Callithrix jacchus: one gene and its partners. The protein of the gene in region 2 binds, or shares a complex with, the protein of the main gene of each other region. Links are inferred from orthologs where the notes say so. Each region holds a gene or a part of one and is shown on either strand. Other genes may lie near its edges.

What was found. The genes of interacting proteins can lie anywhere in the genome.
Region 1: the proteins of MAPK1 (region 2) and DUSP6 are in contact, whole or in part, in a crystal structure (PDB 2FYS), measured with the Rattus norvegicus proteins. The link is inferred for Callithrix jacchus from reciprocal best matches to the Homo sapiens genes MAPK1 and DUSP6. Residues at the interface, in NP_446294.1 of Rattus norvegicus: Glu79, Glu107, Thr108, Leu113, Gln117, Leu119, Asp122, His123, Tyr126, Phe127, Gln130, Thr157, Thr158, Cys159, Asp160, Tyr314, Asp316, Asp319; in NP_446335.1 of Rattus norvegicus: Arg64, Arg65, Leu66, Gln67, Lys68, Gly69, Asn70, Leu71, Pro72, Val73, Arg74.
Region 3: the proteins of MAPK1 (region 2) and PTPN7 are in contact, whole or in part, in a crystal structure (PDB 3D42), measured with the Homo sapiens proteins. The link is inferred for Callithrix jacchus from reciprocal best matches to the Homo sapiens genes MAPK1 and PTPN7. Residues at the interface, in NP_002736.3 of Homo sapiens: Thr185, Glu186, Tyr187, Val188; in NP_001351807.1 of Homo sapiens: Arg124, Tyr125, Lys126, Ile128, Asp257, His258, Ser292, Ala293, Gly294, Ile295, Gly296, Arg297, Gln335.

Annotation. Positions count from the first base shown.
Region 1 is NC_133510.1:91,812,876-91,820,927, reverse strand, and holds DUSP6 (dual specificity protein phosphatase 6), read right to left. Parts: upstream 4,569-8,052; 5' UTR 4,103-4,568; coding exon 3,703-4,102; intron 3,109-3,702; coding exon 2,671-3,108; intron 1,650-2,670; coding exon 1,342-1,649; 3' UTR 168-1,341; downstream 1-167. UniProt on the Homo sapiens protein: Dual specificity protein phosphatase, which mediates dephosphorylation and inactivation of MAP kinases. Has a specificity for the ERK family. Plays an important role in alleviating chronic postoperative pain.
Region 2 is NC_133502.1:193,753,286-193,760,728, reverse strand, and holds part of MAPK1 (mitogen-activated protein kinase 1), read left to right. Parts: intron 1-3,284; coding exon 3,285-3,399; intron 3,400-3,772; coding exon 3,773-3,904; intron 3,905-7,443. UniProt on the Homo sapiens protein: Serine/threonine kinase which acts as an essential component of the MAP kinase signal transduction pathway. MAPK1/ERK2 and MAPK3/ERK1 are the 2 MAPKs which play an important role in the MAPK/ERK cascade.
Region 3 is NC_133520.1:29,189,971-29,198,200, forward strand, and holds the start of PTPN7 (tyrosine-protein phosphatase non-receptor type 7), read right to left. Parts: upstream 4,569-8,230; 5' UTR 3,803-4,568; coding exon 3,270-3,802; intron 2,364-3,269; coding exon 2,180-2,363; intron 1,882-2,179; coding exon 1,797-1,881; intron 1-1,796. UniProt on the Homo sapiens protein: Protein phosphatase that acts preferentially on tyrosine-phosphorylated MAPK1. Plays a role in the regulation of T and B-lymphocyte development and signal transduction.

The sequences.
Region 1 (8,052 bases), on a different chromosome or scaffold from region 2:
ATTTCATAAACTGCCCCTGAAAAACATTCCAGGAAAAGCTTTAAAAGTTAAGAACTTTGCCCTGCTATGCCTACAAGTCAAAGTCAATCCCTGAATGAAAAATTTCTAAAATGTGTCACTTCACATGTAGGTATAACTAATGAGATATTTTAAAAACAAAACACATCTAATAGCCAAAATAGTTATTTATTAATAATTTAAGGATTTACATTCTTATAATAAATTCCAGCTCAAAACTTTACACCACGAACATAATGGAGCAATTTAACTCTCCCTTCTTCACAATCAAATGCATTTCTCTTATCAAATGGGTACCCATGCTCACACACACACTTCCAGTTTTATACAAATTTTTTCTAAAGGAAAGAAACCAACCCATGTATTGCATTTGAGGTGACACTCCCTGAAGAATTTTATACAGAGGTAATATACTGTTTAGCACAGCTGAAGTTTAAGAAAAAAAAAAGTGAGCCCATGATTTGGTGTGTTTCCAAGATTATCCCCTTTGAGACAACACAAGCCAAAATATTTACAAAGGTAAGGCATAATCAAACTACATAAAGAGAAAAAAATCATGAGGAAGACACATGAAAAAGACTAAAGATTTCACCATAACAAGGTCTTAGCAATAATAGTGTCCATAACGATGTCATCAGAATTGGTAAAGTCAAGCATGCTGCAAATATACCCTTTGGATTAGAAAAGAGCACAATTTTCTTTCTTTCTTCTTTTAAGAAGTGGCATACTGCTCTTTCTCCCTTTGGATAATTTCTTTTAAGCCCATCAAAGGAAAAAACAAATAATTCAAACAAACACTATCAAGTGATTTAAGATAAAATATTTACAGTAATCAAATTGAGTATCAGATTTTTTATTTTCCAAACTGATACCACAAATACAGAGCTGAAATCTCTCTTTGGCTCCTCTATATGCAAAATTGAATTAGTCTTCATTGAAGACAATTATATAGTCAGTTCCAGATGCAAAAGGAAAGGCCTTACAAGGCCCTAAAGAACACATGCTCCTACCCTACCATTTGGTCCTACCCTATAAACCTGGAAGTCCTCGAATCCCAGTCCCTGCATGGGTAGGCTGTACACATGGGTACAGAGCAAACCTACTGCCTGTATCTATACAGCTTGTCCTGTTATTCCAAAGAGAATGGAGCAAATCTCTCTGTTAGTATTAACCAATTCCACACTTGGTAACCTTGTCTAGTACAGACAGCTGGTGTCATTTTGATACCTGGGGCCACACACAAAGAAAGCAGCCCAGCTGATGCTGCCAAGAGAAACTGCTGAAGGACCAGACACATTCCAGCAAGGAGGGGTGTGGGGTCTTTCACGTGGATTGCAGGGAGTCCACCTGGTAGACATTCTGGTTGGAAGGGGTGGTAAAATACAGCTGCTGTGCTGGAACCCGGTTGTCACAGGGGCTACTGAGTCCCAGCGTCCTCTCAAAGTCCAGCAGCTGACCCATGAAGTTGAAGTTAGGGGATATGTTGGATTTCTTCATCTTGACAATGTCATAGGCATCATTCATCGACAGATTGAGCTTCTGCATAAGGTAAGCCACAGTCACAGTGACTGAGCGGCTAATGCCAGCCAAGCAATGTACCAAGACACCACAGTTCTTGCCCCGGGCTTCATCTGTGAACACAAAAAGAAAAGCAAGATCTCAGTGTATTGAAAATATACTTTGTGAATGATCAGTCTAAAAACTGAACTTTAATAATAATAATAATTGTGTGTGGCTGTTGAGCCATACGGGCAATGGAAAATGTATCACTGAAATAAAACATGTACAGTGGACACAATTACATATTTCAGATGTTTTCTAAAAAGAGAGCTTTTGTATTAAGTTTCTGCCAACAAAAAACTCCTTAATGGGTGCATTCTTTGCCTCAGCATGTGAATACCAGAAACCCTGCAATATGTTCGTGAATGCCTTTTATACAGACAAGCAGACTGCAAGGGTCTATTAAATTATTCTCCAAATGTTGTGCAGTTAACAATGGAGGTATTCAGGCATTTTAAAAGAGAGAGGGAAGTCACAGGGGACAGCCCATTAGGAGGAACAGGATGTCGACATGGCTTGAAAATGAGTTCCTTTGTAATAGGAAGTGCATTACAATGCCTAGAGATTCACTTCTCCCAGGCTTCCAGCCCACAGTTCTTCCTGCTGGGCTCAGGTTACCCACTGTCTCACTGTTACCAGTATCACAGTATCATTCAACTGGGTAACACTCAGCATTCATACTGCTTTCCAACAACTAACTTGACGTCCTAATATAACTCCTAGGTTTTTAAATTATAAAGCAATGCTGGAATTCCTGTGTATAGTGAGTACTTCTATTTGACCCTTCCCCTGAGTCCAAAGACTGTGGGAAAAATCTGTTTTCCAATTATGAACGATCCCAACCCCCGTCAAATGACTGAATTCAAAGATTCAAGAAACAGCATTTCAAATAGGTGATCTGCATCCATGTCAAAAGGCAGGTTTTCTTCCCTTAGCAAGAAAATAATACAGAATTAAGGACGCTCTAGAAACATTAGAGACCTTTAGTCTGACAAATTAGCAAGCAGAAAGAACGATTAACAGCTTAAACTCTATGAATGGCTGGGAATTTTGCATTTAAATGTCAGAGCAACGACTACTAATTAGTCTCACCTATGAAAGAAATGGCCTCAGGGAAAAACTGGGACAGGTTTTGGCTCCAGTGATCCGAGATGGGGATTTGCTTGTATTTAAACTCTCCTGCGTTTTCAAAGAGATTCGGCAAATTGGGGGTGACATTCAAGATGTATTTGATGCCGAATTCCTCCAACACGTCCAAGTTGGTGGAGTCTTTGGCACAGCCCAAGTAGAGGAAGGGCAAGATCTCCACTGGGAAGGAAGGCTGGCTGTTGGACAGTGGGCTACCATCCGAGTCTGTTGCACTATTGGGGTCTCGGTCAAGGTCAGACTCAATGTCCGAGGAAGAGTCAGAGCTGATACGCAGGCCCCCGAGCCCCAGCACTGGTAACGGCGGCGAGCTGCTGCTACACGAACCGTCTAGATTGGTCTCGCAATGCAGGGCGAACTCGGCTTGGAACTTACTGAAGCCACCTGCCAGAACGAGAAAAGCAATCGTGTAACCCGAGAAGTCGTAGTAGTTTTCACAGCTTGTAAGAACCACCCCGGCGTAAGAAACACCACAAGCACCCTACAAACCCCCCCGACATACATAATAAGAGAAACACACTTTAAATGTGCACCCTTGGGAATGGAACGAACGGGCCCGCCTCGCCAGGGAACCCTTATTCGTTTAAATCCGGAAATATACAAAATGGCAACTTTTGGGAATATTTTGAGAAACTAGGATGTGCCAATCTGCACCCCCAACAACCTCTCCGGTCCTGCAAATCTTAATTCAAAATCGAACGATAGAAAACAGGGTGATGGTAGAGGATGTTCTGGGTAAGAAGGGCTCAGAACCCGTTAGAAAGAAACGGCCGGTAACCGCGGCCGGAAGCGGGTGGATTCTGCCCCTGCCCGGTTCTCCGGTGCGGAACGCGCGGGTCGCGGCCCCTACCTCGCCGCTGCCGGCCCCTGGGCAAGCTGCGCGGCTCTGAAGCGCCAGCGGCAGAGGCATTTTTAGTCCACGCGCCCGGCCCGCAGCCCTGCGCCCTGTCCCGCAAGCTGAGTTCCCCGGGCGCGTACCTTCCAGGTAGAACGCCCGGCAGCCCTCGTCCTTGAGCTTCTTGAGCAGCAGCCCCAGTACCGACTCGCCGCCCGTATTCTCGTTCCAGTCGCTGCTGCTCTCGTCGTAGAGCACTACTGTGTCGGTGCCGCAGCGCCGGGTGAAGCGGTCCCGGTCCTCGCCGCGCGTAAAGAGCGCGCGCACGGGCAGGTTGCCCTTCTGCAGGCGCCGCAGCATGATGCCCGGGATGGCCACGTTGATGGCCGACTCGATGTGCGACGACTCGTACAGCTCCTGCGGCCGGCAGTCCATCAGCAGCAGCCGCTCGTTGCCCAGCTCCAGCTGCTCGTTGAGCCACGCCACCGTCTTGCTGATCGCCATTTCCGACGCGAAGGGCACGGGTCTGAGCGTATCTATCATGGGGGTCGAGCTGCGGGAGAGGGCGAGGTGCCTACCAGACGCCCCTCGGGGCAGGCATAGGCCGAGCGCACCGCGCGCGAAGCTGCCGCTCTCAGAGCGGGGTTTAAGTCCGCCTCGCCTCACCCAAGCCGAGGCTGGCGATTGGGGAAAACGAGACAGAAGTGAAGCCAGAGGTTCTCTCTGCACCCGGCTGCAGCCGCTGGCTCTTGGTGTCAATGAATCTCTCTCAATGAAGCTGCCCAGACAGTTTTGTTCCTCCCCAGTGAATGAAATCCAATTAATTCGGACTCCGTGTTACTGAGAGGGAAGGAAAAAAATGTCTAGCGGCTCCTAATCCCTCCCTCCAAGGCTGCACCTCAAATCTACCCGGGCGTCTTTCTCCTCGGATTATTTAAGACTCGATTTGCTCACTATCCCTGGGACTCAGCCTCGCACACCCCCAGTGCGAGGCAGCTCCTCAATGGATACAAACAGCGAGCGTCTCAATGGATACATTCTCCGGGCCAGCCAATGAGCGAGCTGCGGAAGGGGCTGTTGCCGTGGGGACGGGCCGGCTGGAACAGGTTGTGTTGATGAATTGTTAATGAGTTTGTCATTCACAAAAACGGAAAGGAATTTCCGCTCCGGATAAGCCCCAGTGCAAACAAGCTGCAACAGCGGGCTCGGCGGGAGGAAGGAGAAAGAAGGGGAGGCGGCAGCAGAGGAGGAGCAGGGCACATAAGCCAGGGCACTTCAGTTGTCTCATGTTTCCTTCTGTTGAGAGTTCACACTTCGCGTCGGAACTTTTGCGCACCAATGGCGCAATTAGCATGCACAAAAGCCCTTGTTCGCGACGCTTGCGTTCCGGAGCTAGCTTTAGGAAAACTTGCGCTGACTTTTTGTTCTTTGTATCCCCTTCTAACTCATTTGGACCCAAGTTCGCTTTAATCCTCCTCGCCCCAACCCCCCTTCTCTAGGCGGTGTGTGGTATTTGTTTGCCAGCTTTAAAGCCCCAGCTCTGTTTGCTCTGATGTTCTTTTAGCCGAGACTGTGTTGGGGCTGGTGAACTGACGGGGCTTTAGTGACCGATGAGGTGTTAAATGCTAATCCAACATCTTTCGAAACAAGCCGGGATTCTGTTGAAACATTTTAAAGCAAACAAATGTTTGGTTGTCCAGAAAATCAGAAGAAAACCTTTTTTCTTAAAGTAGCATTTTATCTTCTTTAAAACAATGTGGAATACAGAAACAAACTCTTAGGGCAGTCCAGTACTTTTACTGTATTCCGCTCCAGCGGCGTGGGGAGTTACGAGCCATTGTTCTGGAGATCTAAATCTCTTCCCCCGACCCCACCACCATCACCGCCTGCTGGGGGGTCGCGTTGGTTAATGATTTCTGGGCAAGGAGCTCGGCTTCTGACGGAGGAGCCGGTCTGGCGGGACTGCCTGGATGAAGTGTGCTGGGACACGCAGGGCCGGGCCGGTAGTCCCCGCCATTGGCGAGGCGTGGGGAAGTCCTCCCGCAAGGTCTGTAGGCTCCGGGGGCTCAGCGGGGGGGGGGGGGGGTCCGCTATTGGTTACAGTTGGCAGGGAGGCATGCCAGAGGGGGCCTCCCCAGCCCCCTCCTGCCGCCGCCTCCTCCCTTTGTCCAGCGCCTGGCACTCCCTAGAGCACCAGCCGCGCCTGCGCGCTGCGCTCCCTGCCACCGCCCCGCTGCCCCCGTCTCCCCACTTGGCAGGCACGAGGCTTTGCGCGATCCAGTGGACGGGTGCGGGGCTGAGCGGGGAACTCCGGGTTCCATAGAGATCTGGGGCGGGTGGTGGGGGGAGCAAGGACGAGTGCCTGCCGGGACCCCCCCCCCCCGGCCCTTGGCTCTCAAGGAGTCGCGGGGAACGTCCCTACCGCCCTACAGAGCCAGCAGGTAACTTGCGGAGGTGCTGGCCAGGCCAGCTCGCGGCGCTTGACTCAGGCGCCGCGGGGCGGATGGACTGGAAGCCGGATGGAGGCGTGGCCGGGTGGGGGCCGCGGCGGCGGGGAGGCGCGTTCCCGGCGCGCACAGCTCTATTGTTATATAAAAGTGCCGAGGCCTGACCCTCCCGAGCGGAAAACCACCTGCGAGCGGCCGGCTTGGAGCGGGAGGGCTGCGGCCGGAAGGCGCGGGCCCTAATCCGGCATCCCCTCCCTAAACCCCGGCGGAAAAGAGGCCGCGCTTTGTCCCGCCGCTGCCTGGGAGGCGGAAGCGGGGCAGCCTCCCGGCGGGGTGCGGCTTTGGGTAGCGTCCCTCGCAGCGCTTTGCGCCCACCCAGCACCGCGAGGGCGCCTAAGGTCGCGGGGTCTCCCCTCGCCCGACGCCCCGCACCCACGGGCATGCCTGCTGACGCCCCTGCTGCAATTTGCATTTTTAGTCAGCCGCCTCTTCCCTGGTTTGGGAAATGTAGGCTAAAAAAAGGCGGCTGCGAGGCCCGGGTTGCCAATTTTGGAGCTCTGCTGCAGGCAGGCCGCCCCGGGAGGAGCGTGTTCGACGAAGGTGGAGATTGCCGCTCTCCTCTCCGCACCTTTTTTGGGCAGCCCTTGGAACTAAACTCCTGTATTTCACTGGATATCTTCTAGTTTTCAGCCGGGGGAGGCCTGCGCTGGAGTTGACTCCCCCTGTCCTCCCCGATCTGTCACAGAAGTTCCCATACCAAGACGTTTCAGTCATTGGGACCTGGGGACAGTGAGGGAAGAGGCAGGGTGTCCTGAAGCGGAACTGGGAAGAACAAACCTGTTGGAGGTGCAGCCCAGGACCTCCAACAGAAGAGAAAAGGAGGGAAGCTGGGTTTCCACTTTGCCTGTTTTAAAAGTGCAGCTACCTGAATATGACTATAGATTCAGGAGGACACATCGAAACTAGTTTTACCCATGCTTCTGAACTCTTTCGCCAGGGGAATGCCAGTCTTTCCTGGCATATTGATTAAAGTGACGTTCTGACCGCTCAGTCCTAGAAATGCTGCGTAAAGGGCTTCTGGAGTGAGACGACCGTCGTTTGAATTATGTATCCAGCTTCTATCTAGGTGTGCGCCCTTAGTTAAATCATCTAGCGGTTGTAAGTTGCAGTCTTCCACGTCGGCATAATTAATATAAAACTGTCTGCTTCATGTTCCCTGTGACGACAAAATGGGTAGGGTGAAATGTCCTAAAATGGTGATGGGGTGCTATTAGCTGATTTGAGTTAATTTTTTATCCTTCTGAATTGAGAACCTGTGAAAAGGCCTCGGTTGGGGGGATGGTTTTGGCATTCCACAGATGCCCTTTGAGGCTTGCCTCACAGCACGCCTGGACTGGCTCATCTGCAGCAAAGCCCTCTAAGGTACTACCCTAACCGATTTAATCCGTTCTAATACAGCTGTCAAGCAAAGGAGGTGTTCTTATAGACCAGGATCAAAATTCTTTAGCAAGGTTATCAGAATGGACCCAGCTACATTTCTAACTTCTCCCTACGGTCACCTTTGAAACACCTTGTTCACCAGCCACAGCAAACTGATAAAATAGATACAACAGTGTGTACTGGGCATGATAGGTACCATCTTGTTTCTGTGTTTACGTGCATAATTTCGGACAGTCTTCAGAAAACCCATGTAAATTATCCCCATTTACAAAGATTAAGGAATTTGCCCAGGGTCACACAGTAGCAACGGAAAGTGTCAAGACATGCATCCAACCCCTTTGCAGACTCTTAAGGATACCCACATACACGGATTACAGAGTGCTGTGGATACTATACTCATCTCCATGTGGTATTCCCTGCCCAAATGTGAAGAATTTCAAGGTCAGCATTTTGAATTTTGACTTTCTGGCTTTCTCCAGCCTCACGTTTTCTGTTGCCTCCTCCCCACGGATGGGGTCAAAGATCAAAAGTTAGGCTGCTTTCCCAGCTCCTTTAACACATCAGTGGGTTTCTTTGCAAGCAACTCTTCATCAGTCAACCATTCAG
Region 2 (7,443 bases):
TGGGTGCAGTGGCCCACATCTCTAATCCCAGCACTTTGGGAGGACGAAGTGGGCAGATCACCCACCAGGAATTTGGGACTGTCTCTCCTAAAAATACAAAAAGTTAGCTGGGTGTGGCGGCAGACACCTCTAATCCCAGCTACTCAGGAAAATGAAGCACGAGAATCGCTTGAACCTGGGAGGTGGAGGTTTCAGTGAACCAAGGTCATGCCACTGCACCCAGCCTGGGTGACAGTGTGAGACTCTGTCTCAAAGAATAAAAAAGTAAAAGTTGCAAGAAATGTATAAGGTAGCCATTCTCATCAAGATCCCTTGACATTTCCTCCCCTTCCCCTTCCCCTTCCCTTTCCCCTCTCCCCTTCCCCCCCCTTTTTAAAAAATCTCTGCCTCCCAGGTTGAAGCGATTCTTATGCCTTCCAAGTAGCTGGCATTACGGGTGTGGCTAATTTTTCTATTTTTAGTAGAGATGGGGTTTCACCATGTTGGTCAGGCTGGTCTCAAACTCCCGACCTCAAGTGATCCACCCACCTCAGCTTCCCAAAGCCAAACTGCTGGGATTACGGGCATGAATCACCGCACCTGGCCTCTTTTTTTTTTAACTCCCCCTCCTGGACTCAAGTGATCTCCCTCCTCACCTCCTGTGTAGCTGGGACTATAGCTTGAACCACCATGCCCAGCTAATTTTTGTATTTTTTTTTTTTTTTTTTTTTTTAATAGAGACAGGGTTTTGCCATGTTGGCCAGGCTCGTCTCAAACTTCTGGGCTCAAGTGATCCACCCACCTCGGCCTCCCAAATTGCTGGGTTTACAGGCACGAGCCACCGAGCCACCAGGCCCAGCCAAGATCCCTTTACATTTTTTAAAAATTATCAAGGACCATCTGGGCGTAATGGCTCACGCCTGTAATCCTAGCACTTTGGGAGGCTGAGGCGGGTGTATCAGTTGAGCCCAGGTGTTCGAGACCAGACTGGCCAACATGTAGAAACCTAAACTAAACCTCTACTAAAAATACAAAAGTGCACTGGGCATGGTGGTACATGCCTCTAATCCCAGCTACTTTGAGGCTGATGCATGAGAATTGCTTGAACCTGGGAGGTGGAGGTTGCAGTGAGCTGAGTACTGTGCCACAGTACTCCAGCCTGGGTAACAGAGTGAGACTGTCTTCTTAAAAAAAATTAACAACCCACACACATTTTTTTATATCTATTATTTACAGTATGAAACTTTAAAATGTATTAATTTTTAAATAGTAAATCCACTATATGTTAACATAAGTTCTGTGTTTTTCATAAGAATAAGTTTATTTTCTACAATAAAAACATTTTAGTGAGGCTTGGTATGATGGCTGAGGCCTATAATCCCAACACTTTGGGAGGCCAAGGCAGGAGAATCACCAGGAGTTTGAAACCAGCCCTGGTGACATGGTGAGACTGTGTACAAAAAAAATTTTTAATCAGCTGGGCGCTGTGGCTCACCCTTGTAATCCCAGCACTTTGGGAGGGGGTGGTGGATGGATCATGAGGTCAGGAGTTCAAGACCAGCCTGACCAACATGGTGAAACCCTGTCTCTACTAAAAATATAAAAATTAGCCGAGTGTGGTGGCACATACCTGTAATTCTAGCTACTTAGGAGGCTGAGGCAGGAGAATTGCTTGAACCTGGAAGGTGGAGGTGGCAGTGAGCTGAGATCGAGGCATTGCACTTCAGCCTGGGTGACACAGCGAGAATGCATCTGAAAAAAAAAAAGGAAAAAAATTTAAATCATCTGGGCGTGGTTGCATGCACCTATGGTCCCAGTCACTTAAGAGGCTGAGATGGGAGGATTTCTCAAGCCCAGGAGATAGAGGCTGCAATGTACCATGATCACACCATTGCAGTCCAGCCTGGGTGATAGGGTGAGACCCTGTCTTTAAATAAAATAAAATAAAAAACTTTTAGTGAGAAGAGTGGCATTGTTTTTATTTTTGCAAGTCTGTTTAATGTCTGGCTTACAGTTGGATTCTCATCTGGTTTGGCATTCAGTCTGTCAAATATGTTGTTTTGGTTTAAGTTAATAAGGAAAACTTCACACAGGTATGTAGCTGATAAAAGGAGGGAAATTTTAGTAGTTTTTTCAGCTACTTATGGCTGTTCTTTGATACTACCCCCAATTTGAACAAGTGGTAGTTTCTTAAAGGTTAATTGCATTGTGGAATCTGAAATCATATCAGTGAACTCTTTTTTTTTTCTTTTTTTTTTTTTTTTTGAGATGGAGTCTTGCTCTGCCTCCCAGGCTGGAGTGCAGTGGTGCAGTTCTTGGCTCAATGCAGCCTCTGCCTCCTTGGCTCAATGCAGGCGATTCTCCTGCCTCAGCCTCCTAACTAGAACTACAGGTGCCCAGCTAACTTTTGCAGTTTTAGTAGAGATAGGGTTTCACCATGTTGACCAGGCTGGTCTCGAACTCCTGACATCAGGTGATCCACCCACCTTGGCCTCCCAAAGTGCTGGGATTACAGGCGTGAGCCACTGTGCCCGGCTGAGAATATTTTTTTTTTCTTTTTTATTGCATTTTAGGTTTTGGGGTGAGAATATTTTTAATAAGAGATTGGTAAAATATGATGGAGCTAGCACATACTTCCCCCCAACCCAGAAATCCAGGTTTTTAGACTTTTTAAATTTTTTTTCCAGCTCCAATTTATGACAATTCTGAATCTGTCTCTCAAATTGTTTCAAAAAAGGACTGATGTATAATTTGGAAATTCTAATCTAACAAGTTAATCAACTGTTGTTTTTTTGAGATGAGTCTTGCTCTGTCACCCAGGCTGGAATGCAGTGGCATGCTCTTGGCTCACTGCAGTCTCTTGCCTCCCAGGTTCAAGTGATTCTCCTGCTTCAGCCTCCCATGTAGCTGGGATTACAGGCACCCACCACCATGCCTGGCTAATTTTTTTGTAGTTTTAGTAGAAACGAGGTTCTACCATGTTGGCCAGGCTGTTCTCAAACTCCTAGCCTCAAGTGATCTGTCCGCCTTGGGTTCCCAAAGTGCAGGGATTAGATATGAGCCACCACGCCTGGCCCATGTTAATCAACTTTGAAGAGAAAAATAAAATCACATAATCTTAAACTGTTCAGCCTCTCATAAGAAAGCCAAATTATTATTTGTTTTTCCATGCTGCTTACTTGTCTGTCTGAGTTTTAGAGTCAACGGAGAAGTTCAAACTCCCATCAGCAATGCACCTGTCACACAGGAAGATCTCATCCTGTATGACCAGATATCATTCTCAGTCTTTTCTCTTTCTCCTACAGGGCTACACCAAGTCCATTGATATTTGGTCTGTAGGCTGCATTCTGGCAGAAATGCTTTCTAACAGGCCCATCTTTCCAGGGAAGCATTATCTTGACCAGCTGAACCACATTCTGGGTAAGGTTCCCGAGCCCTTCAGTAGCTAGATTTACTCACTTTGCCTGCCTACAGCTTACATCAAAGTCACTTCATTAAATTAAGAAGAGTTCTAATAACTCTTTAGCCTGTGGTAGGTGTGAATTTTTAGCCTTCCCTTATTAAAAATGTTAAGCAAATAACCTCCCAACCAATGTCTTTCCTGGACACTGACCTTAAAAAAAAAAAAAAAAAAAAAGTCTTAAGGACTTCTGTGTAAAAACGTAAGAGAAAGGTAAGCTTTGGGAGTGGTGATAAGACATTAATTACCAGGGTTCATTCTGACCCACAGTTAATGGTGTGTAGTCATTTGCCTTTGTCTTGATAACTAACAGCTAATTATTTTATCTGATAGGTATTCTTGGATCCCCATCACAAGAAGACCTGAATTGTATAATAAATTTAAAAGCTAGAAACTATTTGCTTTCTCTTCCACACAAAAATAAAGTGCCATGGAACAGGCTGTTTCCAAATGCTGACTCGAAAGGTAAATGTTATGTCGTTGATTAGTTTTTTTCTAAGGCTTAGCTTCGCATTTATTTGTTCAGTTGTTAGGTCACTAGCCTGAAAAGTGAGCCTGTAGCTATTGGATAATGCTTTCTTTAGTGCTCACTCTGAATTACTGTCTCTCCCTTTTTTTTTTTTTTTTTTTGGAAACAGTGGCAGTGCAGTAAGGGAGCCTGGTAATGACCGTCTAGTTCTCCACCTTTTGGTTTCTTTGTTAATTTTAACTTGCACTAAAGTCACTTTTTTTTTTTTTTTTTTTTTTTTTTGAGATGGAGTCTTGCTCTGTCACCTAGGCTGGAGTAGAGTGGCCCGATATCAGCTAACTACAATCTCCACCTCCTAGATTCAAGCAGTTCTCCTGTTTCAGCCTCCCATGTAGCCGGGCTTACGGGCACCCACCACCATGCCCGGCTCATTTTTTTGTATTTTTAGTAGAGACGGTTTTCATCATGCTGGCCAGGCTGGTCTTGAACTCCTGACCTCATGATCTGCCCTCCTCAGCCTGTCAAAGTACCAGGATTACAGGTGTGAGCCACCATGCCCAGCCTAAGGTCACACTTTTAGGGAAGTCTAGGACCCTGCAAACAAATTACACCTTTTTATCTTGTCACTTGATAGTTTTTAAAGTCAGGTTTATTGAAGAATAATTTACACAGAATAAAATTCATACTTTTTAGTTGTGTGGGCCTATTGAGTTTTAGTAAACATAAACTGTCATGTAACTACCACCACAATTGAGATACAGAATATTCCCATCATCCTCAGAAGTTGCCTTGTGCCATTTGTAGTCGGTTGTCCCTCTCTAACCCATCTCTGGCAATCACTGATCTGATACCTATCCCTATAGTTTTGCCTTTTCCGGCATGTCGTATTAATGGAATCATAGAGTATGTAACCTTTTTATGTCTAGATTCTCACGTTCAGCATACTGCATTTGAGATTTAGAAAAATTCATTTCATTGCTTGTGTCAGTCTATTCAAGAAATGGTGCTGGAACAATTAGACAACCATATGCAAAATTTGCAAAACTAAAAATGGACCATAAACCTAAATATAAGACCTAAAATTATTAACCTTCAAGAAGAAAACAAGAGAATCTTCATGACCTTAGGTTAGGTGGAGATATTTTAGAGCAACTGTAAAAGAAAATAGTTACATTCCATTTTTATCCTTTTTTTTCAGGTTAGCTTTGTTAAATAATTGTATTATCCTTTATTCCTTATTAATGCATACCTGTTAAATATATTAGGCAGCTAGTTTTTAAAACTTTATGCTATTATAAAACCACAATAGGCAGAATAATGACCTCCACTCACCCCCATGACTGTATTCTAATCTCTGGAACCTATAACTATGTTAGGTTATCTGGCAAACAGCAATTATGTTTGCAGATGTAATCAAGGTTGTTCATCAGCTGACTTTTTTTTTTTTTTAACTGCTCCTTACAGAGCAAGGCTAATCCATGGCCAGTGTGGTATGCCCAGAGTAGCCCATCAGCTGACTTTTAAGCTAGGAAGACTATCCTGGATTATCTATCTAGCTGGGTGGATTATCTAGGTGGGCTAATTTATAAAAACAGGATACCTTAAAAGTGGAGGAGGGAATCTGAATAAGGTACTTGTCCTTCTGTATCTTTATCTACATATGTGTGCATATTTTCTCTATAATTTATTTTTTAATTATTTAAAGGTTAACTTTTTTAAAAATTTAGAAATTGTAGAAATATTTAAGAAGGTGAAATTCTTTTATAATTATTCCCTAAATGTGTCATTGTTAATAGAATTGTGTCTTAAATATCTTTTCCACATCAGTACTTATTGTTAATGATCTTACAGCATTTTTATCCAGTTTTGTATTATAAATTTAGCTATTTCTAACTTGGTATTTTATCTATATGTGTGAATGCATGTATGAATATATGTGTATTTGTATATTTAACAACTGTCTTCTTAAATGTTGAATTGGTTTTATGTATTGACCTGAGTCAAGGTTTAGAAATACTTGGTTGTTTAGAATTGAATTTCTTTTGAAGATGGGAGAAACATTCTTTTAATCTCTCATATAAATGTATAGAAGAATGTCATATAGGAGGAATAGGTAAGGGAGTAAGAACTACTCCTGATCACCAGGATCCGACAGTAAACTTTCACTTTTTTTTTTTCTTTTCTTTGAGACAGAGTTTGGCTCTTGTTGCCCAGGATGGAGTGCAATGGCTTGATCTCGGCTCAGCGCAACCTCTGCCTCCTGGGTTCAAGCGATGCTCCTGCGTTAGCCTCCCGAGTAGCTGGGATTACAGGCATACGCTACTGGCTAATTTTGTATTTTTAGTAGAGATGGGATTTCTCCATGTTGGTCAGGCTGGTTTCGAACTCCCAGCCTCAGGTGATCCACCTGCCTCAGCCTCCCTACGTGCTGGCATTCAGGCATGAGGCACCACACCCGGCCAAAACCTTTCACTTTTTTTGTCCTAATGTGTGCGAGCTTCTGTCTGTATGGTTGTAATTATATAATGTATTTTGGTTTTGAGGGGTTTTGGGGGATTGGTTTGGTTTTTGTTTTCTGGGTTTTTTTTTTTGTAGACAGGTCTGGCTTTGTCACCCAGCCTGGAGCACAATGGCCCAAACTTAGCTCACTGCAACCTCAGCCTCCCAGAGTGCTGGTATTACAGGCATGAGCCACAGTGCCCGGCCCTAATTTTGTATTTTTAGTAGAGATGGGGTTTTACCCTGTTAGTCAAACTCCTGATCTCAGGTAATCCACCTGCCTCAGCCTCCCAAGGTGCTGGGATTACAGGCGTGAACTGCCACTCCCAGCTGTTTAGCCACTAAAATCCAGGAAATTGTTTTCAGTGCTCGTATTGGGTGAATATAATGAAGAAGTAGGGAAAAGCTATACATTAAGAAAGTGGAGAAATGGGAATTGGTGGTGCTGCAGGGAGCACTAGAGCATCAGGTGTTAGGAATACCGGTTTTGTAGCCTTACCTCATGTGTTCAGTCCATAAACCAGTCTCTTACTAGCTGTGTGACTGTTAGACAAACTGCTTAACCTCTCTGGGTGTCAGTTTTCCTTTTGTTTCTTTTTTTGGAGGTGTTGAGATGGTTGTGTTTTGGTTTGGTTTGGTTTTGAGATGGAGTCCTGCTCTTCTACCCAGGCTGGAGTGCAGTGCCATGATCATACCTCACTGCAACCTCAAACTCTTGGGCTCAAGCGATCCTCCCACTTCAGCCTCCTAAGTAGCTGGGACTACAGGCATGCACCACCACATGTGGCCAATTTTTTTTTTTTTTTAAGAGATGGGAGTCTCATTATGGTGCCCAGGCTGGTCTTAAACTCCTAGGCTTAAGCAATCCTCCTGCCTCAGTCTCCCAAAGTGCTGGGATTACAGGCATGTGCCACTATACTTGGCCAGTTTTCTTCTTTATATGATTACTTCTGTTTTTGTTTTCTTTTTTTCATTTTTTGTTTTTGTTTTTTTGAGATGGAGTCTTGCTCTGTTGCCCAGGCAGGAGTGCAACAGC
Region 3 (8,230 bases), on a different chromosome or scaffold from region 2:
CTGGCTGGCCTTAAGTTTCTAGCCTCAAGCAATGCTCCCATCTCGACCTCCCAAAGTGCTGAGATTACAGGTGTGAACCACCATGTTTGGCCGCCACTGAAGTATTTTATACTCAGACAGTAGGGAGCTATAGAATGTTTCTGAGCAGGATAGTGACGTGATCAGAGGAATAGCTTGGGAAGGTTAACTGAGTGGTGCTGTATAGGATGGACTATAGAAAGGGAATGGAGCAGCGGAGACCAAATGGGAAGATGGAATATTAGATATAATACTCTTTTTTTTTTCAGACAGAGTCTTGCTCTATCACCCAGGCTGGAGTGCAATGGCATGATATTGACTCACTGCAACCTCCACCTCTCAGGTTCAAGCAATTCTCTTGCCTCAGCCTCCCAAGTAGCTGTGATTACAGGCACCCAACATCACGCCCAGCTAATTTTTTTATTTTTAGTAGAGATGGGGTTTCACCATGTTGCCCAGGCTGGTCTTGAACTCCTGACCTCAGGTGATCCATCTGCCTCGGCCTCCCAAAGTGCTGGAATTACAGGCATGAGCCACCACACCTGGCCTAAGAAATATATAATATTCTAATAGATATAGTGATTCTATCCTTGAGATCAGTACGGGTTTAGAATAAGATTATGCCAATAGGAATGGAAAAAGAGATGTAGAGGAAGAAGAATTTGTTTTCTAATGGTGAATACGGGATTCAGATGAGCAACTTGTCAGATATCACACAGCCACGAAGTGGGACTAGGACTCAAATCCTACTTAGCCGTGAGGCATTTGGCCTCTGCCTCTAAGGGGAAAGAATTCTCTAAATTTCATTTCTTCCTCCATGCCCAAACATGAATGAAGAAGACGGCTTGTGAGGAAAGGAGAAGAGACTCTCACTCTGCTCATACCAGCCTGCTCATGGCCAGAGGGTGTCCTGGGGACCACAGGAATCTCAAGCAAAGGGATTTTTCCCTTTTCTGGTGGCTGCAGTGCTGATTAGAACTAGGCCAAGAACAAGGGCTACTCCTTCCCGTGGCTTGGAATAGCACTAATAGCCCCTTGATCCGCCCATGCAGGCAGAGGGCACTCCAGGAGGGTTAGCAGGAGGCAGCACTCGTGTGCTCCAGAGCTAAAGCCTCAAGCTGGGAGTAGCTTCCCTGTAGGGTGAGAGGGGGAGGGAGGCAGAGGCCCCGGGGCTTCGTGCCTGCCTCTGAAAAATAGAAGGTGCTGGTTCTGTGTCTGTCAGCTTGCAGGGTCACCCCCTCCTAGCCCAGTATCCTCCATCCCCACCCCCACTACTGCTCTCTTGCTGGCTGTTGCCCTGCCTCCTCCATCTGACTTTCTCAAAGCCCTCTCTCTGGGAGCCCTCTTAGTGGTCCTTCTTTCACTGCAAGCCTTGGCTGGGCATTTCCCATGAGAGAGAAAAATGAGGAAGAGGGTTTGGTGCAAGTAGCTAAGTTGAATAGCTTAGGTAAGAGATTCAACTTCTCTGTGCCTTAGTGTGAAGGCACAGCGATTTGTAAAATGGTCATCATAATATCGCAGTACCAACTTCATGGGATCGTTATGAGAAATTAGTGAATATAAAGGACTGAGAGCAGGGCCTGGCCCAGGGTGCACATCTGCAAACATTATTATTGCTGCTGTTGTCATTCCTGCTCCTTCTTCCCCCTTTCTCTGCTGAGAGAAGATGCCCCAAGTAAGGTCATCCTTCCCTGGCTGAAACGGTGTACCTTGCCTTCTGAAGTTCTCCAGCCCCAGGGCCTATACCTAACTCCCTTCATCCTAGCTGCAGATCTTACTTGGCAAGATGGTCTTGTATCGGTCCTTGGAGGCATGGCCAGGGATGTCCAGGTCTTCGGGGCTGACAAAGTTTGAAGGGATCTTCTGGCAGGGGGAAGAAATGAGTGAGCAGCTGACTCCCCTTCCTAGCCGCCTTTTCTCCTCTTCTATTCTTTTCTAGAACAACTGGGCTCTGGCTGTTCCTTCTTGATATTAATATGTAGGCCTAGATGGGGTGGCTGCAGAAGGCGAAGCCCAGGTGGAGCCCCCTCCCCCAGCCCTAGAGTTCTCTTTCCTAAGGGTCCAAAGAGGAGACAGGCCGACGGTCCCTGTGAGAGAATGGTTCCAGCTGGCTGCCTCTGACACAGAGCAGAGCAATTCAGAAGGGACCTCAATTTCTTACCAAGAATTCTTCTTCCAGCTGCTTGGGGCTGGGTGGCTGGCACTGAAGGGCCCAGCGGGTAAGGGGGTGTCCAGCAGTGCGCAGAAAGTGTAGGGTGACCTCCCGGGGAGTGTTCACGGAGCAGATGGGTTCTACAGCCCCCAGGGACCGGACATCCAGCATCAGAGCCACATTGGAGCCCCGCCTGCAGGCACAGTCCACACTGCCTAGTGAGCACCCAATCGTATTTGTTTTGCTTTTTATCTTTTCTTTTAGGTATAGGGTCTCTCTCTGTTGCCCAGGCTGGAAGGTGATGGCACTATTATGGCTCATAGCAGCCTCAAACTCCTGAACTGAAGCGATCCTCCCACCTCAGCCTCCGGAGTAGCTGGGACCACAGGCACATGCTACTGTGCCTGGCTAATTTAAAATAATTTTTTTTTTTTTTTTTTTTTTTGGTTTTGAACTCCTGGGCTCAAGTGATCCTTCTGCCTTGGCTTCCCAAAGTGCTGGTTACAGGCATGAGCCACTGTGCCTGACCATACTTGCTTTTCTTACAAGTATTACTGTTATGAGGCACCTCTGAGGGGGCCGCTTCTTGTCTTTACTTTAACCTGGAGGCCCAGTGAATTTAGGGTTCAGGCCCCTGCTGTATACATTCCCCCCCGCCCCTTCCTAGCCCAGGCTGGTCTCCAATTCCTGGACTCAAGAGATCCTTCCACCTCAGCCTCTCAAAGTGCTGAGATTTTGGGCATGAGCTACCATGCCGGGCTCAGCCCTGTGTCAGCCAGACAGGGCAGCCTTGAACTCAACTGCTCCTTCCAGCTGCCTGCCTCTTCCCACTCCCAGCCAGGCCCTGTGGCTCTGACGTGCATCCAGCACCAAGAAGGCCACTGGCCTGGCCTGGAATTTAGGGATCAGGCTCAGGGTTGTTAAGAAACTCTGTGCTCCAGACATGCAAAACACATGCAAATGAGCACTACTGGTTTCCTTTGCATACTGGAGTCAACAATTGGACTATGTTGTCAGAGCTGGAGGGGCAGGTGGAGGAAAGGGAGGAAGGGAATGGGGCTCAGGGCCGGGAAGACCCCTCCCCCAGGGGAGATCTTACCTCTCCTGTAGCCGCACATGCTTCTTGGCTGGCGTTTTGGCAGGCAGAGGCTGGGTCATGGCTGCCCCCAAAGAAATGGTCGGTGGCTGGGCTGTGGAGCTCCCTCCACAGGCCTGGACCATGCTGGGGTGGGGTGCTGGGCCCAGGAGAGGCTCACTCAGCCATGAGGTCTGCCTGAAAGACAGGGCCCTCCGCTGCTGTTCCCTGGCCTGCCTGATTGGCCAGAAGGAGGCTTCCACGCCCAGGCCGGCTTTGCGCTCCGTTTTCACTGGGGCATCTCCTGTTTCCCAAGAGGTAGCCTCATGTTCACTACAGGAAGGACAGGATCTCTTTGGTGGGACCCAGGGCAGAAGGCAGTCTGGGGTTAGAGTAACGGCAAGATAAAGGTAGAGATTGTGGATGAAGATAGGAAAGAAGCCAAAAGGAGGAGGAGAGAGAAGAGAGAGGCCACACAGGGCTCTGCGGGTCCAAGTGGAGAAGGCAAGGGAGGAAATGGAAGACATGTGTTCTCTAGGACGGAAGGGAGAAAGCATGCAGAAGCCATCTCGGAGCTAACCAGTGGGCTTTCTCCTCAACAGGGAATGGCAGCTGCAGCAGTGCTGGAGATGGGTGGGCAGCCAGGCAGGCCAGCTCTAGGACCCCGGCAGGGTCCTCTCCTAACTGCTGATGTTCCACTCTTAAGTCCGTTTCTGGCTTCTGGGGTGTCTGTCCAGGGAGGTAGGCTGGGGGTGTTTCCTTCCTCCTCCTGCCCATCCCCCGCCTCCCGCCTCTGTAACCGTCACAGGAAATGGCCTCACCAAGCCCTTGAGCGACAGTGCATGGTGAGGCGACAGCTGGGGGCAAGACAGGGGGCATGCAGATGGTGGGACCATCTCCTCTTGGGGACAGTCTGTATCTCCCAGAGCCAGGGTCACAGCGGGCAAGGTGGTGGGGGTGATTAGTCAGCAAGGCAGGGATGGAGGTAAGGGGACAGGGAGGGTCCGGCGCAGGTGTGGGTGGTAGAAAGAGGGTCTCTGGCAGCAGAAAGGGGGTCTTCAGCCTCCGCTCTCTTTGCAGCTCCCTGTGGCTTCCGTGCTTACCCCCTTCTGGGGGACATCAGGGCTGTGAGCACCCATTCCCCAGCCAGGCCCTGTAGCACCCCACTCGCCCTCCCATACTCCCTCCTGCAGATGCCCCCTTATATCCCTGGAGTTCGCAACCCCCAGGGCCACAGGACTCCCGGTCCCCCTTCAGATACTTACTGAAGCAGCTGTGGCCCCCAGGCTGCCTCTTGCCAGCTGTCTGTCTGTCTGTCAGTCTGTCTTTGAGGGCTGAGAAGGCTTCAGGAAGCCAGCTTCCTCCCTCCGCCCCTCCTTGCTGCCACCCACGCATACCCCAGCTGCATGCTGCCCTCCTGTGCCTGCTGCTGCTGCCACCAGGGGTCGGGTGCCTCCTGCCTCTGCCCTTATGGATCCCAAGGCCCTGTTTCCTGGGAATGGGTGAGGGGCTAGGCCTTTCTACCATCCTGCTTCCCCCGGCTTCCAGACCCTCTCCCGTCCTGCTGTGTTTCTCCTCTGGGTCTTGACCTTGGCCAGAGGCTTTTTCTGCTTCTCTGCCTCTGCCCCACAGCCCTCTCCCTCGAAGCCCTTGCTGCTTCAAGCCTTGGGAATTCATGGCCAAGCACAGACCACATCTTCCCAGAGCAGATGTGACACAGACTTGGGGTGGGGAAAAGGAGGAGGCAAGAATCCATGCCTCACAATGGGAAGGAAAGGCCCCGGCCAGGCCAAAAAGGTCGTCTCCATGCCCTGTGCCACAGCCGGGCTCTCCGTAGGCAGATAGCAGAGTCCACTTGTAGGAGGGAATCTGAGGGGCTTCCCCTGGGCCCCCAATCCCCTGCGGGCCTCCTCCCAGAACCCTGACATCTGCTTGGAAGACTTACAGACAGCAGACAGTCTCTGGCCCTCACAGCAGGGGACTCCCATGTCCTCTTCGCTGCTGGGGTGCCTGGGACCTGAGGGGTGGCCCCCAAGTGCAAGACTCCTCTGCCCCCTGCCCCTGCCTGGCCTTGGCAGGCTCCTTGTGGGCCAGCAGCCCAGCTGGTTCACGCTTGCTGCACGCCTCCTTTTACCTTGTAATATTTCAAACACCCTTCCCTTCCCGGCCCCCAACACGCACAATCCACGTCCTCTTTCTTCCTCCCACTTCCCTGATTCAGCTGTCAAATGGTGACAGCAAAAAAGAAATGAGGTACCATAGGCACAGGGGTAGGCACGCTGGAGGGGGTGATCGGGAGGGGCTGGCTTTCTGCTGGCCCCCTGGGGAGGGCTGGATATGAAGGACAGCAATAACCCTCTGAAACTCAGGAGGCCTCCCAGCACCTGCGCTTGCTCTTGGCAGTGGGGACAGGGGCTGGCTCTTTTCTGAGTCCCTTCATGGCCAGCAGACCCTGGTGCCTTCTTTCCTGCAGCCTGTGCTCCTCTCTGGAGTGGGTGGGTTTCCCTGAGGAGGAGGCGGATTAGGGCTGGGAAAGGGGTTGGCTCCTGTGCTCAGGACAGAGTGGAGAGGAGCGGGAGCCTGAGAGCCCCTACTGTGCTTGCAGGCAGTGACCCAGCGACTGGCCTCTGCCTCACCCCCTACACCAGTCAGTGTTTCCACCGGTGGGTAGCAGGGGCCCTGGGGGTGCAGGAGGGGGCAGGTGGGGGCAGGTGGGGGTTGGAAAGCGGGCTGGGCTCTGGGCCTATGTTGATTGTTATCAAGAACAGGAAGCTAGGACACCACAGGGGTGGGAGGAGGAAGCGACAAAGCCCTCCCCACACAGGTCTGCCTAGTGGCCCCAAGTTTCCAGGGTCCAGGCCCTGTTGGCTGTGAGCCCACCCCTTTCCCCCACAGACTGAGGCCTGGCAATGGTTGAGCAGTTGGAAGCTGAGCTTCTGAGCAAGGAGCAAGGAAACTGGGAGCTAGGAGATGGGCAAGATAGTTGGGGGCGGGGGTAGTGGTTGGGCATTAGGCAGGACCTCAAGGATCCCCCGTTCCCTCTGGGTGGGTCTAGGGTGGAGGGGACAGTCACTCTTTGCCTCCTGCCCACTCTCTCTTCTCCTGTGCTTAGGGATGCCTGGACATCCATGGAGGTGTGTGGCCAGAGCTCGTGAGGGCTGAGGGTGCCCACTGCAGCCTCAGAAGGGACAAGACACCTGTCGGCCTGCACCAGCCCCTCCCCAGCCTGGCCTGGTGACTTGGGTCACCCCTCTCTGACCTGTCTGGAGTGGACTCTGCTCCATCTGGGCTGCTGGGAGGCTCCTGGGAGTGACTCCCTCTCCCCTCCAGAACTTCCCACTCCTGGGGCCGAAAGGTCCCAGCAAGCTCTCAAACTTCCATCACTCGAATTGATTTGTGTTCCTGGGTTGAGATTTAGGTTCTAGCCACCCTCGACTCCAGAGAAAGTATAGTAATAGTCAGAAATCAGAAAGACCTGTGCATGTGAGTCTGAATGTAGCTTATTAGCTGTGTGACCTTGGCCAAGTCGCTGAGCCACCCTGAGCCTCGGTATCCGCCTCGGTCTCCTCCTCAGCTTCCTCCCTCTTCTGGGGGATGTTCACAGCGCCTCCCTCACCAGCTTGTGCAGTGCTTTGCTCATGGAGAGCTCGGGAGTCAGAGGCCAGAGGAGCGAGGAGCTGGAGGAGCTGGCTGGGGAAGTGGGCCTGGGAGCCTGGGAGCGGCACAGGGTGAGGAGGTCATGGGTCTCACCGCTCCCCAGCCTCCCTCTTCCTCCTCACTGCTGACTTTCTCCCCAAAGCCAGGCACTTCCACCCCAGCACTGAGGAGGTTCCCGAAGGAGTCACTCCTGGGGGTCTCCCAGCATCCTGGATAGGGCAGTTTACTCCAGGGAGGACAGAGAGGGGCGTCCCAAACCACCAGGCCAGGCTGGGGCAGGGCTGGTACAGGGCATGACACATCATGAGAGTCAGCCTTATTCCATCTGAAGCTGTGGGGGGTGCCCTCAGCCCTCCCGAGCTCTGGCCATGCACGTCCTGACTCTGTTTCCCCCTCTAGTGACCCCTAGTTCCAGGGCTGTGAGCCACAGCTCCCTGTCCCCAGTATCAGAAGCCCCCCAGGGAAAGCCATTAAATCTGGGATTCCCAGAATTCTTTGCTCCTTGCCAGCCCCTAGCAAGTAAGGAGCTCCTTGCTGGGCTGCAGTTGGCCCCCAGAGGCAAGGGCCACCACCCTCTAATAATCCAAGGGGAGGATCTTGGGGAGAGCGTCAGCTGCTGAGGGCCAGCATTCCTGGGTCCCGCACACTTCACCGGCTCTGCTCCCTCCTAGCTGCCCTCCTCGGCTCCTCTTTAGAGAAGCACCAGGATCTGGGGTGGCTGCTCCTGCATCCTTCCCTCCCCCAGAATCCTAGGCCAGCCTGAGCCGGCTTGTTCTACCCCAACTTTACTGGCCCAGGCTTGTTCCTGTTTGTGTCAGGGAGACAGAACTGGATCTGGGAAGCCCCATCCTGGAGGAGGCAGGGACACAGCAGGGGAGACATGGTGATCGGGAAGTGCTGTTAGGGGCATGGGATGGGTCCAGGCTGACCACAGTGACACCTGTACCCCTATCTCAAAGCTGCACCCCTGTGCCAGGCCTAGGAACTCCTGCTACCTTTTGGGTGAAGGGGAACGTCCCTTACCCCTTGCCCCTGGCTGAGAGGACCAGCAAACCAGCTCTGCTCAGCACTGGGGTGCCGGGGCCAGCCTGCCGGGAGGTCTAGGAAAGTGCCTGGTTCTTCGCCTGTGGCTGGACTCAGGACCTTGGCAGGAAGGTTTTAGGGTAGAAGAGAGTCCCCCGCTTTCTTCCAAGCCCAGAGCCAGCCAAATGGACATCTCTTCCCCAATGTGGCCTTTTCTTCCCAGGGGCTCCCGTCCCCTCCCACTCTATGTTGTCCCTGGACCCACTCATGCATCCATCCAGACAGGAGTGTACACCCTCATGGCC